5 linked regions of the Zea mays genome follow. The protein of the gene in region 1 binds, or shares a complex with, the protein of each later gene. Links are inferred from orthologs where the notes say so. Each region holds a gene or a part of one and is shown in the gene's direction. Other genes may lie near its edges.

Region 1 (3,212 bases):
TCGACGTTGTGGGCCATTCGGGTTTGCACCAATCCGGTATCACGTCGCTCTGCTTTGTTGGTTGTTTCTCCCCAGGCCCACAAAAGAATGACCTTACGATTTATTGGGCCCTTGGGCCTTTCGTGAGGTCTTTTACTCCTTTAGTGGACCCGGGGGATATCTATCCCCCACACAACAGCCTTAGGCTCCATGGCATCCAATTGTGTTGTCACATGGAGCATAGGGTGTCCACAACCCCTGTCACGATAGTTTGGAATATTGCATCTCATTTTTGGGCCAACACAACCAACACACTAAAGACATCAATCATGGTTGAAAGAGAAGAGTAAGGCCATGTATACAAAGTACACAAACTAGTCTACTTCACGAGTGAGGTCCTATTAAAGTCTAAAGTACGATACCCGCAAGTCTAGAAACCACTCTACACCCTACTAATCATATTGCACAGACTTTGCCACTAGGTCTGGACGAGAAACTTGTGGATCCATAACTCGCTCTCATTAGTGGCTTGATACATCTTGGCTCGTTTGAAATGAGTCACGAGCTCAGCCAACATTTTAGTTTGGTTCTTAACGAGCCAAACGAGCTGCACAGCTGCCCTGCGGCCCAACGAGGCCCAAGCGTCAAGCGACCTAGCCCAACCAAGCGAGACGTAGACGACGAACCACATACGACAAATCTACTATATTCAAGCTTGAATATTCAGTTTTCAACATTTTATTTTGATTTGTATATCAATCTTTCAATATTTTATTTGATTTATATGTGGTGTGTCATGACCAAGCAATAGTGCATGACAATCTTGATAGCAAGCTACCATTATGGATTCTAATTGAACTATTTTTGTCATGCACTTTAGCTTGAACATGTGTAATCAGTTTAATATATGGTTACCTCTCACTAAAAAATATATATGTAACGTCATCATGGGCACATGTCCCACATATCAAATATTAAACTGATCACACTTGTTTTTTAAGTTGTTTTTTACACGCATGACCAGCTCAATGACTGTTGTTAATCACGTATTCACGATATTAGGTTCGTTGTTAGCAAAACAAGGCTGTATTATGATGTTAATCTTATTGATCCACTAAACAATCTTGGCTTGGGCTTGATGGGCTTTAGCCATCTCTGTATCCTCAATGGGTCCAAGTCCAGAGCACACGAAGGCCTAGCCCAGAACCACTGGATTGGCCACTGCCAGCGGCACAGCCGACGCCTTATCCAGCAACCGTCTTCCTCATCCATGGCATAAGCCGCGCCCGCCTCCGCACGCCCCGCTCCGATGGCAGCCGCGGCTGTGACCCTGCCCTCCTCGGGCACGCCCTTCGCCGTCGCCACAACCGCCTCTTCCTCATCCGCCCGCCGCTGCCTGCTCCTGCCCTCCGCGGCTCCCCGCCGAGCTCTCCGCGTCGTGGCCTCCGCCGCTACCGAGGCGCCGCCCAAGCCCACGCAGCCGCCGACATCGCCCTCCGGCATCGTGCTCGTCGACCCATCCGAAGCCCAGAAGGTGCACCGGCTCAAGGCCGTCTACGACCAGAAGGTCGTCCCGCTCATCACCGAGGAGTTCGGCTACACCAATGTCCACCAGGTGCTCGACCGTCGACCCTGCTCCTCCTCGCCGCGGAAAGGCCCGCCGTTCCTCCTTGTAGCTAGGCTAATTTGCTGGCGTGGTAGGATTTTGACTTTTGATGAGTCGTGCGGTTGGTTCGAACGGCTAGGTTCCCAAGCTCGAGAAGATTGTGGTGAACTGCGGTCTGGGCGCGGAGGCAGGGAACTCGAAGGGGCTGGATGCCGCCATGAAGGACCTGGCCATGATCACCGGGCAGTGGCCCGTCAAGACCAAGGCCAGGAAGTCCGTGGCCAGCTTCAAGATCCGTGAGGGAAACACCATCGGTATCGCAGTCACCCTCCGCGGCAGGGTGAGCCTCATCCATTGCTCATTTGGCCTCGGAGTGTATTTCGTGGCAGTTTGGAATATGGCAGCTTAGTATAATCTGCAATACAAGTGGAAATTGTGAGCTCGTTTCACTGGTACAGGGCTCATTTCTTTTTCTTTTTTTTGTCCTTGGCTGTAGATAATGTACAACTTCCTGGATAGGCTCATCAACCTTGGGCTCCCTAGGACCATGGACTTCCTGGGTGTCAACCCCAACAGCTTCGACGGGCACGGCAACTACAGCCTTGGCCTCCGTGACCAGGGCGTGTTCCCGGAGATCCCGTACGAGGTGGGCGGGAAGAAGAACGGCATGGACGTGTCCATCGTCACCAGCGCCAAGACGGACAACGAGGCGTTCAGGCTGCTGGTCCTCCTCGGCATGCCATTCTCGGAGAACATCAAGACCGACGTGGTGATCCGGAAGAAGAGGTTGAAGCGCCACCACTTCCTGAGCAAGGGCAAGGGGAAGGGAGGACGACGGTGAGGAGAGGAACCAGCCAGCCAGCCAGCCCATGGTTGCACACGCTCTGTTCAGCTTGTTTTAATTCCGATCTTTTTGCAGAATTTGGCTTACAAATTCGATGCTGTTGTTGTCTGTCAATTATGTAACTTGTGCACCTATGAAAAAGGTTTGCAATGATCATGTCCGTTTTGCTGATTTCTTCTTGATGCATAATTTGTAGTCACAAGTTATACCACTGCCAGACATTGTAATCGGAGGAAGCAGTAATGTGAGACGGACACTGTAATGCAAACGTATTTCAGCTGCATTTCTCATACTGCTTGTCTAGACTATCACCGAAGAGCCTATATGATCAATGATCTCTTTTGGCAATCGGCCTCAATAGCTACACTTCGGCAGCTCGGGTGGGCCGATGACGAGCTCTTCCTCCGGGAAGGCGCACGGCTTGCCCTCCGCGGCGAGCTCCGGGCACGGCTTGGGCGAGACGTGGGAGGTGACCCCCTTGACGTTGGTGCAGTTCCACTGCAGCTCCTTGGCGTCCGGCGCGAGGCGGGCGGTCACGTTGGATATGCAGATCCCGGTGTAGGGGTCCTTAGGGATGCCCTCCATCCTGCCGGCCATGGTCACGTTCTCGGCGAACACGTCGCTGTAGTTGATGCCGGTGACCTCGGGCATGGCGTTGGGGTCGGACGTGTTGTCGGGGTGCTGCCCGTAGTTGCCGGTCATCCAGAACACCCACTTCATGGTGTGGAGGCTGAGGCCGCGCACGAAGATGTCCCTGACGAAGCCGCCCCTCCCGGCGCCGGA
Region 2 (4,087 bases), on another chromosome or scaffold:
CTAAATACCAATTACGAAGAGATCCTATAGGAATGCTTGAAGCTCTTCTTTGGAGGACAAACTCTACATTTGCTATCTCTGAACATGGAGCACGGAGTAACATATATGATGAGGGGAAAGCTATTGTTCAAAAGCACAAGGCTACCCCTGAAGAGGTAGAGGTACAATTGACTCGGTATCGTCAAGATGGAATGCCGGACACAAAAAGATTGCACGGACTGAAAGGTCAGTCTGTTAATCTTTCTCAAACAATTGTTCTTTTGCTCCTGTGGAATATCTCTGTATATGTTTTCCGAACTGTTATAATGAATTTACCCGTTTGATTTTTCAGCTCTAGCCGAAGCCTCTGTTATTGTGAGGGAACTCACCCCTGCAACGAACCATTTCATGTGTGCTTGGTTTAATGAAGTGGTTCGCTTCACATCTCGTGATCAGCTCAGTTTTCCATACGTTTTGTGGCGGCTAAACATGCATGGATTGAGCATGTTTCCTGTATGCACTCGCAGGGATCTTGTGAATAGTTTGGGTCACACAAGGAAAGTAAAACCTCTTACACAGACAAATTCAGGGTCTTCTACTACTTCGTAACCTTCCTCCCAGTTCATTTGCTGGTAGCCAACTAACCATTGATTTACATATGGTTCTAATCGTCGATACTCGACATCTCTGGTTCACAATTTTGTTGTTGTATATTATCATCTTTGCGTTCTTCCTGCGAGGGAATCCTGGATCTGAACCAGAAACACGTTAAGCTGTTGCTTCACTGCAACGCAATCACACGATGTTGCCACTATATATGTAAAAGATATGCTTTCTTTGGTTAGAAGAGAATGAACACTTTTCTGCCTCCTTTCCGTTTCCTGATGGAACATGTGAAAATGGTGTCCGTTATCAATTAATTCGGCTTCTGCTGCTGATGGTTGTCGCGGAAACTAGCAGCAATGGAAGTTCTGTTCCCGTCATTTTATTTGGACTCGAGAATTTCTCTGATTACCGATGTTTCTAATTGGTACTTGAACAGCGGAATCGTTTGAAAAAAATATGGTCCTGTCTGAAGCTATATTTTGTTAATGCAGCTCCCTTTGCCCAATAGTAATACATTGAATTTCTTTTTTTTAGATGGAATTATGGAACCGCCATTATTCTGAGTTTGGGAAGAGTTTCAAAGGAAGCGTTTAAATCTCAGATGAGCTGATAAGGTGTCGTAATGGGCCAAATCTGCATTTCGTTCTGAGCCCATGAAGCCCATATGTTCTTGTTAACCTTTCCCTGTTCTTTGTCTCCTATCCCCTTATCCGCTTGACGCTCCCCACTGCGCCTAAAAATGGCCGCGTCCCACTGAACCAACCGTCTGCACATCCTCCTCCTGTTGCCGCTCGCTCGCCGTGCCGCAATGGCTACGGCCGTCGCCTCCCATACGTTGCTCTCCTCCGCCTTCGCCCCGCGCCACTACCACCGCCGCCTGACCCGGACCGCGTCCGTGGGGCCGCGCCGGGCCGCCCCGGTGGGACTGGCCGTGCGGTGCGAGAAGAGCGACAAGCAGAAGAGGCAGCCGCTCGCCGCGCTCGTGCCCCGCGAGCAGCGCTTCATGTTCGAGGGAGACGAGCTCTGCGGCCCCGTACGACGCTCTCTCTTCCTCTCTTGAAACAATGTGCACATTTTCACAGCTCGTTTTGCAGGATTGTAACCCTGGACTGACAGTGTCCATCCTATTTTGTTCATGTTTCACCGTGGCCATCTTAATCCACCTCAGAGGCTTCGACTATCCTTTTATGTGCATGATGAAGGGCAATCAAGTTACAATAGAACTGCGTACATTATATATGTTATCTGCCATGTGCCATCATATCCAAAATTACCCATGGGCTGTTTGTGGTGAGAGAGAATTCATTAAAAATGAGCTTAATTGGACATGCAAGTCAAAGTGAACTGATGGTTGCCAACCAGCCTGTTCATAATTGTGACTTGTTTAGGATCAGTTACTAATACTATGGGTACAAAGTGAATGGTTTGTTTGTACTATGCCTTGTTCTTTCTTCTAATGAATTACTCCACAAGTAATTGTGTCTACTGAAATCTGATTCAGTGATTTAATTTGCAGGACATATGGAATACAACCTGGTATCCTAAGGCTGCAGATCATGTAACTACCGAGAAGACATGGTATGTTGTTGATGCAACAGACAAGATCCTAGGCAGGCTAGCATCCACCATTGCAGTACATATCAGGGGAAAGAATGAACCCACTTACACTCCTAGTGTAGACATGGGAGCTTTTGTTATTGTGGTAAGCGTTCTCTCAATACCTATAGTGTTTGGAATCCCTACAGTTAACAGGTAGCCAGCTAACAAATTGTTAGCTGGGTTGAGCCAGCTAATGAACTAATTGTTAACTGTGAGTTAGCTAACAATTAGTTGTGGGTGTTTGGAACCTGTATAGCTAATTTTAGCAGCTAACTATTAGCTGTAGAGGTTCCAAACAGGGCCTTAGTATACATGCTTTACTTCCCTCAGATTATTTGGTACTGAGGTGAGTAACCTTCCTCAAATAATCTTCAACTGTAGTTGTGTTTAATGTTTATGTTAGCATAGTCCTTTTGTGACTGGTGCATCTCTAAAGGCTCATTACCACGTATTCCCTCAGTTCCAAGTTATAAGACTTTTTGGATTTTTTTTGGATCCATTACTTTTGCTACGCACTTAGACATAATTCATGTCCAGATATTTAGTAACAACTATGTATCTAGAATTACCAAAACATCTTATAATTTGGAACAGATGGAGTAGATGATATGCATTATTGTGTTACACTACAATGCTGAGAGTCATTAACAACCTTTTCTATTCACATAGGTCAATGCAGATAAGGTTGCTGTTTCTGGTAAAAAGCGGTCACAAAAGCTTTATAGGAGGCACTCCGGAAGGCCTGGAGGGATGAAAGAAGAAACTTTTGACCAACTTCAGAAAAGAATTCCAGAGAGAATCATTGAACATGCGGTTCGTGGCATGCTCCCCAAGGGAAGGGTAAGAAAAAACATCTACTAGCTGATTGCCTCAGGTCTACATGTTCTCTTTCTCGTTTTAGTGCGCATGTTATAATGTATGCCAAATATGAAAATGACAACCAAATTTCCTGGTGACCTTTATTTTAAGGTCCCAAAAATTACAATTTGGTATTAGTTAGCAGATGTGAATTTTTTCTTTTGAGATTGAGAACTACTATAGTTAATGGTGAGGCCTTGTTCGGTTATTTCAATTCCATGTGGATTGGTGTGTTGGGATGGATTGGGATGGATTTTGACTTGCTATGGATTTAAACCGACTCAATACCACTCAATCCACATGGATTAACGGCGAAACGAACAAGCCCTGAAGTGTATTGCAGTCAGAACATTGCTCATGCATCAGCATGTACCTCCCAGTGAAAGCGTGACATTCAGAATAAATCACAGTACTAAATTCAAGGGAATGTTGTTATTGAACAAAATTAACAAGTCCAGATTGAATTAGTTAATTATCTTGCCGATCTTTTTTTTTCTAAGTTCGCAAAGGTGTGTTGCATGAACTCCATAAAAATTGCCTATTAACCTTTTTCTTGCAAATTGCTTCTTAGTTCAATTGTTTGGTAGTATGGATGCGTTTACTGAAACTCACATTATGGCAGGCAAATATCTTGTTATCTGAAGCATCCCCCCTAACCATTCCATTTTTCTTGTTGATGGCAAATTTGATTTAACTTAGTTTTGTTATGTGCTATATACTTGTTATATTTACATTTATATGCTCACCTTTTTTGCCAATTTGCAGCTGGGAAGAAGATTATTTACCCACCTCAAGGTATACAAAGGGACAGAACATCCGCACGAGGCTCAAAAACCTGTCCCACTCCCGATCAGGGATAAAAGAATACAAAAAACTGGATAGAGAATTCATCGACTGAAAAGGATGCAGTGGCGAATTCCTCCCCAGAAGGTTTTGCCCTTTGTTTGGAATGCTATCCTCATAACCATGCCTCTGATCGGGGAGGGGGGGGGGGGGAGTATAAATCCTCTTTGTAATTTTGATGTTTACCAATGCATGAAATTCA
Region 3 (3,412 bases), on another chromosome or scaffold:
GTCCTTTTCAGTTCCAAACTATTCACCGTGCAGTGGCAAAGATCGATATGGACTAACATTTTACAACCGCAAGCACGCTATAATTTGTCACAAATAAACAAGAGTGGGAAAAAGATAGAGGAAATGCGTTGTGTCGGTCGGGTCCGGCCGGGGTGGGGTGCGGGTGTGGGTGTCGCCGGCGAATCGTCAGACGAGGCAATGATCGCCGGCGGTCAATGTCATCTCTCCGTCCCCCTGCTGACGGTGCGTGCGGTGCGGTGACTGCTGCTAGTACAAGTAGTAGCAGCAGCCTGTGAGCGCCGTGCGCTGCTGCCTCTTTGAAATTTCTGGCATCCCTAGTGCCGCCGGAAATCTAACGCACACGGAGACGGAGGAGTAAACAGTGCAAACTGCAGCGAGTGAGCGGATGGAGCGTCTGGACTCTGGAGAACACGAGATTATTAGTGGGTGGTGGTGGTGGTGGTAGGGCCCTGTTTGCTTGTGTGGTCTGGTCTGGGCCATGATTAACTTGGACCCCCAAACGCTCTGCATCTCCCGCGCTTTCGTCAAGGATCCTAATCATGCCATGTGTCGGTCGTCTCCTCTTCTTCCGGCTCCAGCTTTGCCGTTGCCGCCGGTCAAGCCCATCATCATGCCTACTGCTTCTCTTGCTCTTGCTCTTGCTCCACAACAAGCCTGCCTGTCACTCTAGCTAGCTTCCCCGGCTATCTCCCCACGTGCCGACGCTAGCTAGCTGTGGCCATTCAGCGTCTCTCTGTGCAGCTCCGGAGGGAGGAACAAGATGATGCCCTTTTGGTTCACATATCATGTTTGTTTAACTCTAACTGAGCCTATTCAGACTTATTATCGTTGGTACTTGAATGTGAATCATTATCGTTACCACTTACGTTACATATCATGAACCAAACACCACCACACTGATCATTTTGTTTTCCCCCTGAATGATTCCTTCGTGAATCCTGTGTTGCCTTGCCTAAAACTACAAGGACCAAAACCGGCCAGGAGCATAACACCATTTCCCTCCCTTCCAATTCGGCCAGACACTCTGCAAGCACCACGAGGCCCATCTGCAAGTAAGGCCCAAAAACTCCAGGACCCAAAACACTGGGCCAACCACGAACGAGCCCACGTCTCCCGACTGCATCCCTTCTCCACTCCGTTATCACCAGCGCCCACACCTCTGTACCTCACCGCCTCATCTGCTCTCTTCCCCCGTCTTCTTCCCAAGCTGCCACGTTGCCTCCCTCCGCTCCAGCGGCCCATGGCCTCCATGGCGTTCGCCCTGGCGGGGGCCTTCAAGGGCCTCTCCCTGGCGCCCACCACCACCACCTCCTCCTTCCCGCGCTGCGACCGCGCCTCGCTCTCCGTCGGCGGCGCAGCGGGCGTGCCGGTGCCGGTGCCGGCGCGGCGGCTCACCATCCAGATGGCGCACAAGAAGGGGGCCGGGAGCACCAAGAACGGCCGCGACTCCAAGGGCCAGCGCCTCGGGGTCAAGATATACGGCGACCAGCTCGCCAAGCCCGGGGCCATCATCATCCGCCAGCGCGGCACCAGGGTCCTGCCCCCCTCTTGCTCCCTTCGCTTCCCTTACCTGTTACTGGTTTGCTTTGGGTTAGTAAGACAGCCTAGGCTCTTGCTTGCGTGGATTATGGTACCTCGTTGACTGGCTCTGCTGGGCGACATAGCTCTCTCTGCCTAGCGTTTGCTTGCTGCTCACCTGCTGCTGCTGCTGCTGATGCAGGTTAAGCATATTAACCACCGACCAGTACCTTCATACGGATTACGGACTGCGAATGCTAGAATCTTACGATGTACCTAGAATGCTTGCCATTGCACATGTTACGTTGGAATGTATGCTGCCATTGTGCATATCTGCATTTTCCATAGTTTACCACTCTGCAAAAGCAGGAAAGAAAAGATTGCAGTTTCTTGCATACATCAGATAACGGGAGGGGAAAGTGCACACACAAACCTCGCTGGGGAATGTAACGTACTAACCTCAATGCCCTATGGAGCCAACTGGTGGTGACTTAGGGGGGTGTTTGTTTGGGATTATAATCTGCCCAGGTTATATAATCCAACAAATTTTGAACTAAACACCCACCTTACTCTGCACACATGGTCAGACATAGCTGTTCAATATTAGGCATACTGTAAGATGGTCGGTCAATCCTTGTAAAAGATATTTCATGAACTTACATGTCTTACGATTTGGTTGGTCCGTCCTACTTACCAGCGCGCTTCAAATATTTAAGATGTTTATATATTATGGATACTACATGGTTTATACCATCGTGTCCCTTGTATAGAGTTCGTTTTGGTCCCCGTTTTGTGGTCTGTCTGTTCCTTGCCGTTTTTAAGTTTTTTCTTAAAATAAAATCTTTTGGACATTTCAGGTCTATCCTGGAAATAACGTTGGAATGGGCAAGGATCACACACTCTTTTCTTTGATAGATGGACTCGTCAAGTTTGAGAAGTATGGGCCGGACAAGAAAAAGGTTAGCTGTATCTTAGTTACTACATACTGAAATCTGCTTTTACTTGCATCTGACTGAGATCTGGTTGCACACCAGATATATGCTCATCTCACTACCTCTCCTTTCATAGGTTAGTGTTTACCCATATGAGAAGGAGCCTGAAAACCCAAACAGTTACAGAGCAAGGAAGAGAGAGTACTTCCGCATGCGGCGTGAACGGAAGAAGGCGAGAGCGGAGGGCGCCGCTGAGCCTCAGTTGGTACTAGCTGCTGTTGATGAAAACTCTGAGGTCAGCGCGGACTGCTGATAAGTTTCCTGTGTGGTGTTTCTCTTTTTCACAGCCCTTGTTACACTTTTTCTTCCTTAATTGTAAGACCACATGATCTATAAAGGTCATATTTACATGTGTTGTTTAGATAAATGGATATGTTCTACTTGTACTTTTTGTGGGGTAGTTGTGCTTTAGAGTCACAGTGGGGGTCTATTCCAACTTCCTAGACCACTCCACGTAGGGCGTGTTTGGTTCGGCTTTTTTCTGAATAGCTTTTCTGAAAAGCTGGTGGTTAGAATTTAGGTGTTTGGTTCGCCAGCTGTGCGGAAAAGCTGTTCGTTAGAATCTAGGTGTTTGGATACACAGATTCTCAGATTGCAGATTCTGTTTGAAGAAACTATACACATTAACACCGAACCAACAAAAGGTCATTACATATAATTAGTGGAGTTCATTACAACATAACTACTGTTACATTTACATATTTAACTACGGCACTAATGCATTAGCAATTGCATCTCGAAATGCACTCATGTCTAACTCATCAGATGTGATACTACTACTCTCACCTACAGATACATCATGACCAAGGCTATTAGGTCCTAGTTCATCAAAGTCTCTATCGTGTAGAGCACTGTCTCTAATGAAGTTATGCAATGTCATA
Region 4 (4,143 bases), on another chromosome or scaffold:
ATACTTCCCTGTTCTGGACTTCTGGTGGTATAAAGTATAAACTACCTAGTTGTTTATGGCAGCCGTTACATTTTCACGTACTCCTTTATTAAAAGGGAAAATTACAAATTAAGTTTCTTAAAATCTGAACGCCTTTCTCTTCACGCCTGCATTTTAAATTATCCAGCCTGCGGCCGTGGCTTCACGCGTGTTGGCTGATGTATCTCTGAATATTACTGTTCACCGATCGCTGTTGAACGACTTATCACTTTACCTGTTCTTTCACGCACTTCGAAACTGGCGCAGCGGAGCGCCCCGTCCGGTCTAGTGTAGTAAATAGTAATGGGAAGTTGAATGCAGATGCCTCTTTTATTGAAATCTGAACCAACCCAACTTAATCTTGTAGTAATGAACTATATTTTTGGTCACTGCATTACATTTCCGAGTATTCTTTAAAAGGGGAAATTACACTGTAGTAATGGGAGATTTGAATGCAGATGCATAACCTCTGTTGAAATTTGAGCCATCCTAACTGTGTTAGTTGTGTTCGAGAAAAATAAAAGGTTGGCTGAGTTCGAGAGGAAAAAATGTTGATTGATTTAGTTCATCAGACATTTTTGTGATTGGGTTATCTCTTGTATTCTGACCTAGATGTTGAATTCTTTCAGGTCCATTGTTAATGGCGCTGCGAAGTGGCTGAACGACAACCTGTAGGCTGTAAATATTTACTGCAGGATAGAAGATTGTCTTACATGGTGCTGTAGTCCAATCAAAGTTCTTAGATTCATTGGGGGTCCCCACGAGCTCGTATATTCGTTTTATTGGAGAGCTGCAAGATTTTCAGGCTGAGTGGCAACCGAGGGAGTGAAAGTTGTCAACTAATATCGTCGCGGCGTTGGTCCCTTGTCATTCTTGCCAAGCAATTATTTTTATGTAGTTGGAGTCCTTTTCAGTCTGGCAAGCGGCGTAGAAGTCTGAAGCTGTGGGATGCTGATCCCAAACCCCGGGACTAGACAAACACTGTACTTGAGGTTTTGGATTAATCAAATTCACCGATATCGAATTGCAAACTTATCCAACTTACAAGATGCGATGGAACTATTTATTAGAAATACGTTTCGGTGATATCGAATTCTCAGTTTCGAGAAAGGGCTATCACGCCGGCAGTTCACGCGGCTGGATCCGGGCACGGCGACCGCGCAGGCTCCCGCCATGGACGCAGCGCGACAGGCGAGAGAAGCTGTGAAACGGGCTCTACGGAGCCGTGACATTATCCATTCCAGATCGATTGGGCCGCCGCCGCCGCTTTCTCATTTCCGGGCCCAAACCATTATTTAGGCCTCTCGCGAAGTCAGTGGATGGATAAGAAAGGAAAGCGGTGCGAGCGGAGGAGGCGACCGAAGCGCCACTTGCTTGAGTAGCGAAGCGCGAGAGCAATGGCGTCGCTGTCGTGCGCCTCCACGCTGCCCTGGACCCCCGCCTCCTACCCGCGGCCCTCGGCGGGGCGCTGCCTCACGGCCTCTCGCCGGGCTCCGTCGCTGGTCATCGTCGCCCAGGGGAAGGTCAAGAAGTACCGCCAGGTCGGCCCGGGCTTTCCGCGTGTTCTTATGTTCGAGTTCTGTGCTGATTTCATCTTAGCAATCAGTTAATGCACGCGGGTTGCTGAGGGCATCATAACCTGCCGCGTTTTAGTTTTCTTCTCTAAAAAAATTGATGCACCGCCGTCGGTACGTTTGTATATTGTGATCAATAGATACAAATGAAGTTAGCTAGCTTAGCTGTCTCACTGGCAACAGGTAAGATATAGTGGCTCGCACAATTTAGATGCTCCAAGAGTTGTACTACTACTACTACTAACCAGGCTTTTAGGCAGGGGATTTAGATACTAGGGATGAAATACCTTTGATGGGAGCCTTGCCTCACTAGTTGGAGTTCAGTTCATAAGTCGTTCCTTTTGCTGTGTTTGCCTGATTGTACAAGAATGCAACAACGGTGCATCCAGTTAAATTGACAATGTGGTGCTTATCTTGTGTAGCTATTACCGCCACCCTTAGCATTACATGTGATTTTACCTTTCTCCATAAAAAAAACAATTCTTTCCCATAGGTCATATTGACAGACGACATAGAAGAGGTGGGGAAGAAAGGGGATACACTGAAGGTGCGAGCTGGATTCTACCGCAACTTCCTCCTTCCCAAGGGCAAGGCTACACTTCTGACCCCAGAAGTCCTCAAGTAATTGCTACCAGCTCTCGGTTATCCCTCACTTGCTTTGCTTTGTTAGTTATGTCATTTAATCCTCAAGTAATTGCAAAGTCCACACTCTGTCAAATGATTCAGTGGCTGCTGGCAACCGTATGACCTTCTCTGTGGTATGCTTAGTTTGACTCTGAGGTTTGGGACCTAGGCACCTAGCAAAACTAGATTGAGATATGAATCCAATCCATGCACCTTTCTAATAGAATTGCAATGGTCGACACACATACTGTTTGATTCGATGGGTAAGTAAGATTGCGAATGAATTTATTGCCTCTACTTCTCTTCGCAGGGAAATGCAGCTGGAGCAGGAGAGAATAGAAGCTGAGAAGAAGCGGGTAGGAAAAAATATTTTACTCAGTAATAAATGTAGTTGCAATTTAACCTCAGCGACCTTTTTCTTTGTCTGGAGAGTAAACTTCAATTGCAGTTTATCCTTACTTTCCTTATGAAAAGAAAATATAGTGCCTTTATGTCCTCCGTAATTTAAGTCCTAAGCATGATATGTTCATGAAATTCTATCAATGCATTTTTATCAGTTTTTGTTTATAATTATGGCCTTAAGAAGTCCTCTATTTACATAGGTAAAAGAAGACGCGCAACAACTTGCTCGAGTTTTTGAAACCATTGGCGCTTTCAAACTCCCTCGCAAAGGTGGAAAAGGAAAACAGATCTTTGGGAGGCAAGTTCTAAGTTGGACAATCCATTATTTATTCTCTCTTGTCTCAGGCTATCTCTTACAGCTTACCCATCTCCATCTCTCATTTCAAACTCTACTTTGTACACACTGCAATCTATAGTGTCACTATCTGCTGGGTATAGTCTTACTTTCACTTTTCTGACGATATCTTTTATTGTACAGTGTCACGGCACAGGATGTTGTTGACATAATAAAGTCACAACTTAATAGGCAAGTGCATATGCTCCTAACTCCTAGGCAATCTTAATAGCGTTTCTCATCATTATATTGCTTCTCTTACTGCTGGCACGCTGTGTCTTGTAGGGATGTCGACAAGAAGCTGGTGACGGTTCCAGAAATCCGTGAAATCGGAGAGTATGTTGCAGAGATCAAGCTTCACCCAGACGTGACAGCGCGAGTAAGGCTGAATGTCTATGCGAAATGAGCTCAGCAGTTACAGAACCTCGAGTAATGGACTTTGGAGAAGCCTGATGTTTGCCAGGCGAGCTCATTTGCCGTTGTTCTTTCCTTGAGATTTGGCTCTTAGAATTCCGCTGGTCTTGCTCTTACACAGTTGCTTTTGTTTAGTGCAGAGATTTTGCTGCAAGTGCCAGGTGCTGCGGTAGACATGAGGCCTGGTCTGGCCGTGACTTGCCTGGTTTTGATACACAATTCACTGGCTCACTGCGCATCCTATTCCCTACCGTGTGAAGTCAAGTTTTCAACAATTATATCTGTTGATTTTGAGGCGGAAAATATAAATTGTTGTAAAGAACAATTTGTTTGAACTGTAGAGCACTACTTCGCCAAAAACGACCCTTCTTTCTTGTCCTCTAACCTTCCCCACCTCTACGTCTGCATCCACTACAAAAAAAAGGCAAGAAATTTGCTAAGTATGGGGCTCCATAGAGCGTTATTCAGATTGGAACACCAACGTACTTGACACATGAACTGCGTTTCTTTTAGCCAAAGTCTGGGCGTCACCAGCGATCTGATACAGATTCACGCAAACCAACTGTATTCATCTCAACATCCACGTTCTACAAAAATGACAGTTTCACATCGTTGTCTAAAAATGCAATGACTCCCGAATACCAGTACAACTCCTCGCTTCACCCTTTACAAAAATCCTTCTGCTTCTGCTAAATGAACTAGCATCATAACTGAACAGCCAGCATTGCAGGCAAGGGGGCATTGCACAGAGCTAGAAATAGCCTTTCCGCTTACGCC
Region 5 (2,632 bases), on another chromosome or scaffold:
TTATACTCATACAACATGGAATAAATCTTTGTAGATGTAGTTAATCGATAAATAACAAATATAAAATTGCACCTATCAAAGTTAAAATATATGAATACTTAGCTAGATCTATTATCAACAAGGCATAATGAATAGAGATAGCCAAACAAACCAAAGTTAAAATATATGAATACTTAGGGCAGCATGACGTACGAATAATGATATACCAAAAGGTGATAGAAGAGTATAGTATTTAGTAAGAGCAACTACAATAGTTATGTATAATAATAATACCTAAATCCTAGATATAGCAAGTTCTCATATAATATAGGGGAAAAAATCATCTCATCCAACATTTCTCTATCTATTACTTTCTAAATATGTTAAATTTTAATTAACATGACGCTAGTTTGAGTAGGACCATTAGTGATGACACATTTAATTGGTGAGTTATGTTGGCTTTTTTATTTACTATCACAATTGTTTATTCGTTTATTTCTAACATGTGCACGTGCGGCTATTGCATTGGCAATTGGTTAATCTCTAGTTGACTACCTGCCACAATTTTACATCGTCGGCGTCCGACGAATGTGCTCTGTTAATATATCTCTACTACAAAGTGAAAAAACACCAAAATACAAAAGTTATCGTCAGTTTTTTGTTTAGGAAGTTGATAAATGGTTGCTAAATGTAGGGAGAAATTGAGATTAGATGAGAAGTAGCTAAATTTAGAAAATTCATTTAAGAGAGTTGTTGGAGATGAGTTTTTAGTTTAGCTACCTAAATTATTTATTGATTTAAGGAATCTTTTGGAGAACTACTAGAGTTGCTCTAATAGAGTTGCTCTAAATTATTTAATTTTATACTCTTAAGAAAACCGTAACAACTGTAATTGTAGTTTGCATATCATTCCTTAATTATATTTAAGTCAGACTCTACACGGCATGCAACTTTCTCTTCTTTTGGCCCACTAATTCAACCAACCATCTACCAACACTTTCATTTCTGGTGGTGTACTTTCTTCGACGTTACATCTATGAAAGAGAATTTTGATCCGAAATGTTTCGATAAATAAAAAACCGCATAGCTATACCTCTTTAGTATAGCTGGCCGCCAACTGGAAATAACTGAAGGAGAAATTGGGCACTGGATTTTTCGTGGGCCGTCGCATTTCCACGTAGCCCAAAACAAACCACAGACAGACTTTAATGAACATATAGAGCCCAAACAAGCCTAGACAACGCTACCTAAAGAGAGAATCGACGAGCGCCAGAGGATAACATTAGCAAGGCGATAGATAAGAGGAAGGAAAGAACATAGGCAGCCGAAGCGACTGTCGCGAGGCAAGGCCATCGTCCGCCATGACGCTCTCCCTCTCCACCTCTTTCCTCCCCATCCCCGCCGCCGCGAGGACCACCGCCCGCACCCTACGCTCCGTCGTCCCCTCCCAGGTACGCACGTTCGTACACACCGGCCCTCCCTCTCGCCATTCCTGCACGGATCTTCGTCGTCGCCGCCGCTAATTCCTGAGTCCGGAACCTGGACGGCGCGGTGCAGGGGATGCGCTGCTCGATGCGCAAGAAGGGGTTGCACCCGGAGATCTACGAGGACGCGAAGGTGTACTGCAACGGCGAGCTGGTGCTGGTGACGGGGGGCACCAAGCCGGAGTACACGGTGGACGTGTGGTCCGGAAACCACCCCTACTATGTCGGCGACACCTCGGCGCTCGTGGTCATGGACAGCCAGATCGAGAAGTTCCGCAAGAAGTGGGGCCACATCAAGGAGTACTGGCCCGAGGACCAGTGGAGGGAGATGCACCCAGACGGCGACCCGGAGTTCGAGCCCGAGGGGGACAACTGATTGATGGCTCCCCGTCTTCCTCACCCGGTGCGTGGTCACCGGTCCAGTTTACATTTGCCCTCTTGAATGGAATCGAGACTCTGTCTGTTCGCATTGCTCTCCAGGTGTTCGGTTAATGTTCGGAATGGAAAATGTACAATTACTACTACTTCACGAGATAGGGTCTTGTTGATCATGGGCCCCCAAATACAATGTGCTTTCTGCAATGCACTCTAGGGTAGGATGGTATTGATCAAACAAGCAAATGATCCTGGTTCGAGGAAATGGATATTTCTCACTAGGAGTATACGCTGATGCTTGACTACAGCTTGAGTCGTCTGCTGATAACCTGATACCGCATACTGTTTGATCAAACTAGCCTCCTGTTGCTAGGTGATCCAATTTCCGAGTCATAGTTTTATACAACCAATTTTTCCATGCGACTGAACTAATTGAGTGTCCATGTGTTGCATGATATATAAAACATGTCGTGACATACGGCCATATGGGTGGAATAGAATATTTGTAAAATCTCATGCCATTACAAACAATTAGCACCAACATATAATTCAAGCTAATTTCTATAAAATAAAACAAAATGACTATAATATTATTGGCTTAATCTAGACAAAAGAAAAGTAAGTAATTTTATTTTGTTATTAATAAACCGTTGAAGATAATATCATACACTAGCTCTGATTCACTCTATTTCCTACGTTGATAGAAAATGTGGCGGAAATAAGAATAGATAGCGACAAGCAAATAGATACTCCCTCCGGTGTTATATTATTTGTCGTTTTGGATAATGTTCGAG

What was found. Proteins that work in one complex are often made in the same cells at the same time.
Region 2: 50S ribosomal protein L5 (region 1) and 50S ribosomal protein L13, chloroplastic-like share a complex: the UniProt entries of both Arabidopsis thaliana proteins name them as parts of the 50S ribosomal subunit. The link is inferred for Zea mays from reciprocal best matches to the Arabidopsis thaliana genes AT4G01310 and emb1473.
Region 3: 50S ribosomal protein L5 (region 1) and 50S ribosomal protein L27, chloroplastic share a complex: the UniProt entries of both Arabidopsis thaliana proteins name them as parts of the 50S ribosomal subunit. The link is inferred for Zea mays from reciprocal best matches to the Arabidopsis thaliana genes AT4G01310 and RPL27.
Region 4: 50S ribosomal protein L5 (region 1) and 50S ribosomal protein L9 share a complex: the UniProt entries of both Arabidopsis thaliana proteins name them as parts of the 50S ribosomal subunit. The link is inferred for Zea mays from reciprocal best matches to the Arabidopsis thaliana genes AT4G01310 and RPL9.
Region 5: 50S ribosomal protein L5 (region 1) and 50S ribosomal protein L31-like share a complex: the UniProt entries of both Arabidopsis thaliana proteins name them as parts of the 50S ribosomal subunit. The link is inferred for Zea mays from reciprocal best matches to the Arabidopsis thaliana genes AT4G01310 and emb2184.

Annotation. Positions count from the first base shown.
Region 1 is NC_050096.1:5,387,174-5,390,385, reverse strand, and holds 50S ribosomal protein L5, read left to right. Parts: upstream 1-1,185; 5' UTR 1,186-1,288; coding exon 1,289-1,594; intron 1,595-1,724; coding exon 1,725-1,925; intron 1,926-2,081; coding exon 2,082-2,426; 3' UTR 2,427-2,712; downstream 2,713-3,212. Other genes in the region: glycoside hydrolase, family 28 precursor, read right to left, coding at 2,784-3,212. UniProt on the Arabidopsis thaliana protein: Binds 5S rRNA, forms part of the central protuberance of the 50S subunit.
Region 2 is NC_050098.1:202,897,642-202,901,728, forward strand, and holds the start of 50S ribosomal protein L13, chloroplastic-like, read left to right. Parts: upstream 1-1,287; 5' UTR 1,288-1,393; coding exon 1,394-1,618; intron 1,619-2,101; coding exon 2,102-2,287; intron 2,288-2,853; coding exon 2,854-3,024; intron 3,025-3,807; coding exon 3,808-3,924; 3' UTR 3,925-4,087. Other genes in the region: uncharacterized protein LOC100285659, read left to right, coding at 1-225, 332-588.
Region 3 is NC_050103.1:167,360,501-167,363,912, reverse strand, and holds 50S ribosomal protein L27, chloroplastic, read left to right. Parts: upstream 1-1,199; 5' UTR 1,200-1,261; coding exon 1,262-1,555; intron 1,556-2,396; coding exon 2,397-2,498; intron 2,499-2,607; coding exon 2,608-2,784; 3' UTR 2,785-2,912; downstream 2,913-3,412.
Region 4 is NC_050100.1:222,785,531-222,789,673, reverse strand, and holds 50S ribosomal protein L9, read left to right. Parts: upstream 1-1,343; 5' UTR 1,344-1,415; coding exon 1,416-1,559; intron 1,560-2,085; coding exon 2,086-2,213; intron 2,214-2,526; coding exon 2,527-2,572; intron 2,573-2,818; coding exon 2,819-2,916; intron 2,917-3,096; coding exon 3,097-3,144; intron 3,145-3,237; coding exon 3,238-3,358; 3' UTR 3,359-3,415; intron 3,416-3,501; 3' UTR 3,502-3,726; downstream 3,727-4,143. Other genes in the region: Chaperone protein dnaJ A7A, chloroplastic, read left to right, coding at 648-693; methyltransferase WBSCR22, read right to left, coding at 4,118-4,143. UniProt on the Arabidopsis thaliana protein: Binds to the 23S rRNA.
Region 5 is NC_050098.1:221,940,151-221,942,782, forward strand, and holds 50S ribosomal protein L31-like, read left to right. Parts: upstream 1-1,282; 5' UTR 1,283-1,340; coding exon 1,341-1,430; intron 1,431-1,536; coding exon 1,537-1,839; 3' UTR 1,840-2,132; downstream 2,133-2,632. UniProt on the Arabidopsis thaliana protein: Binds the 23S rRNA.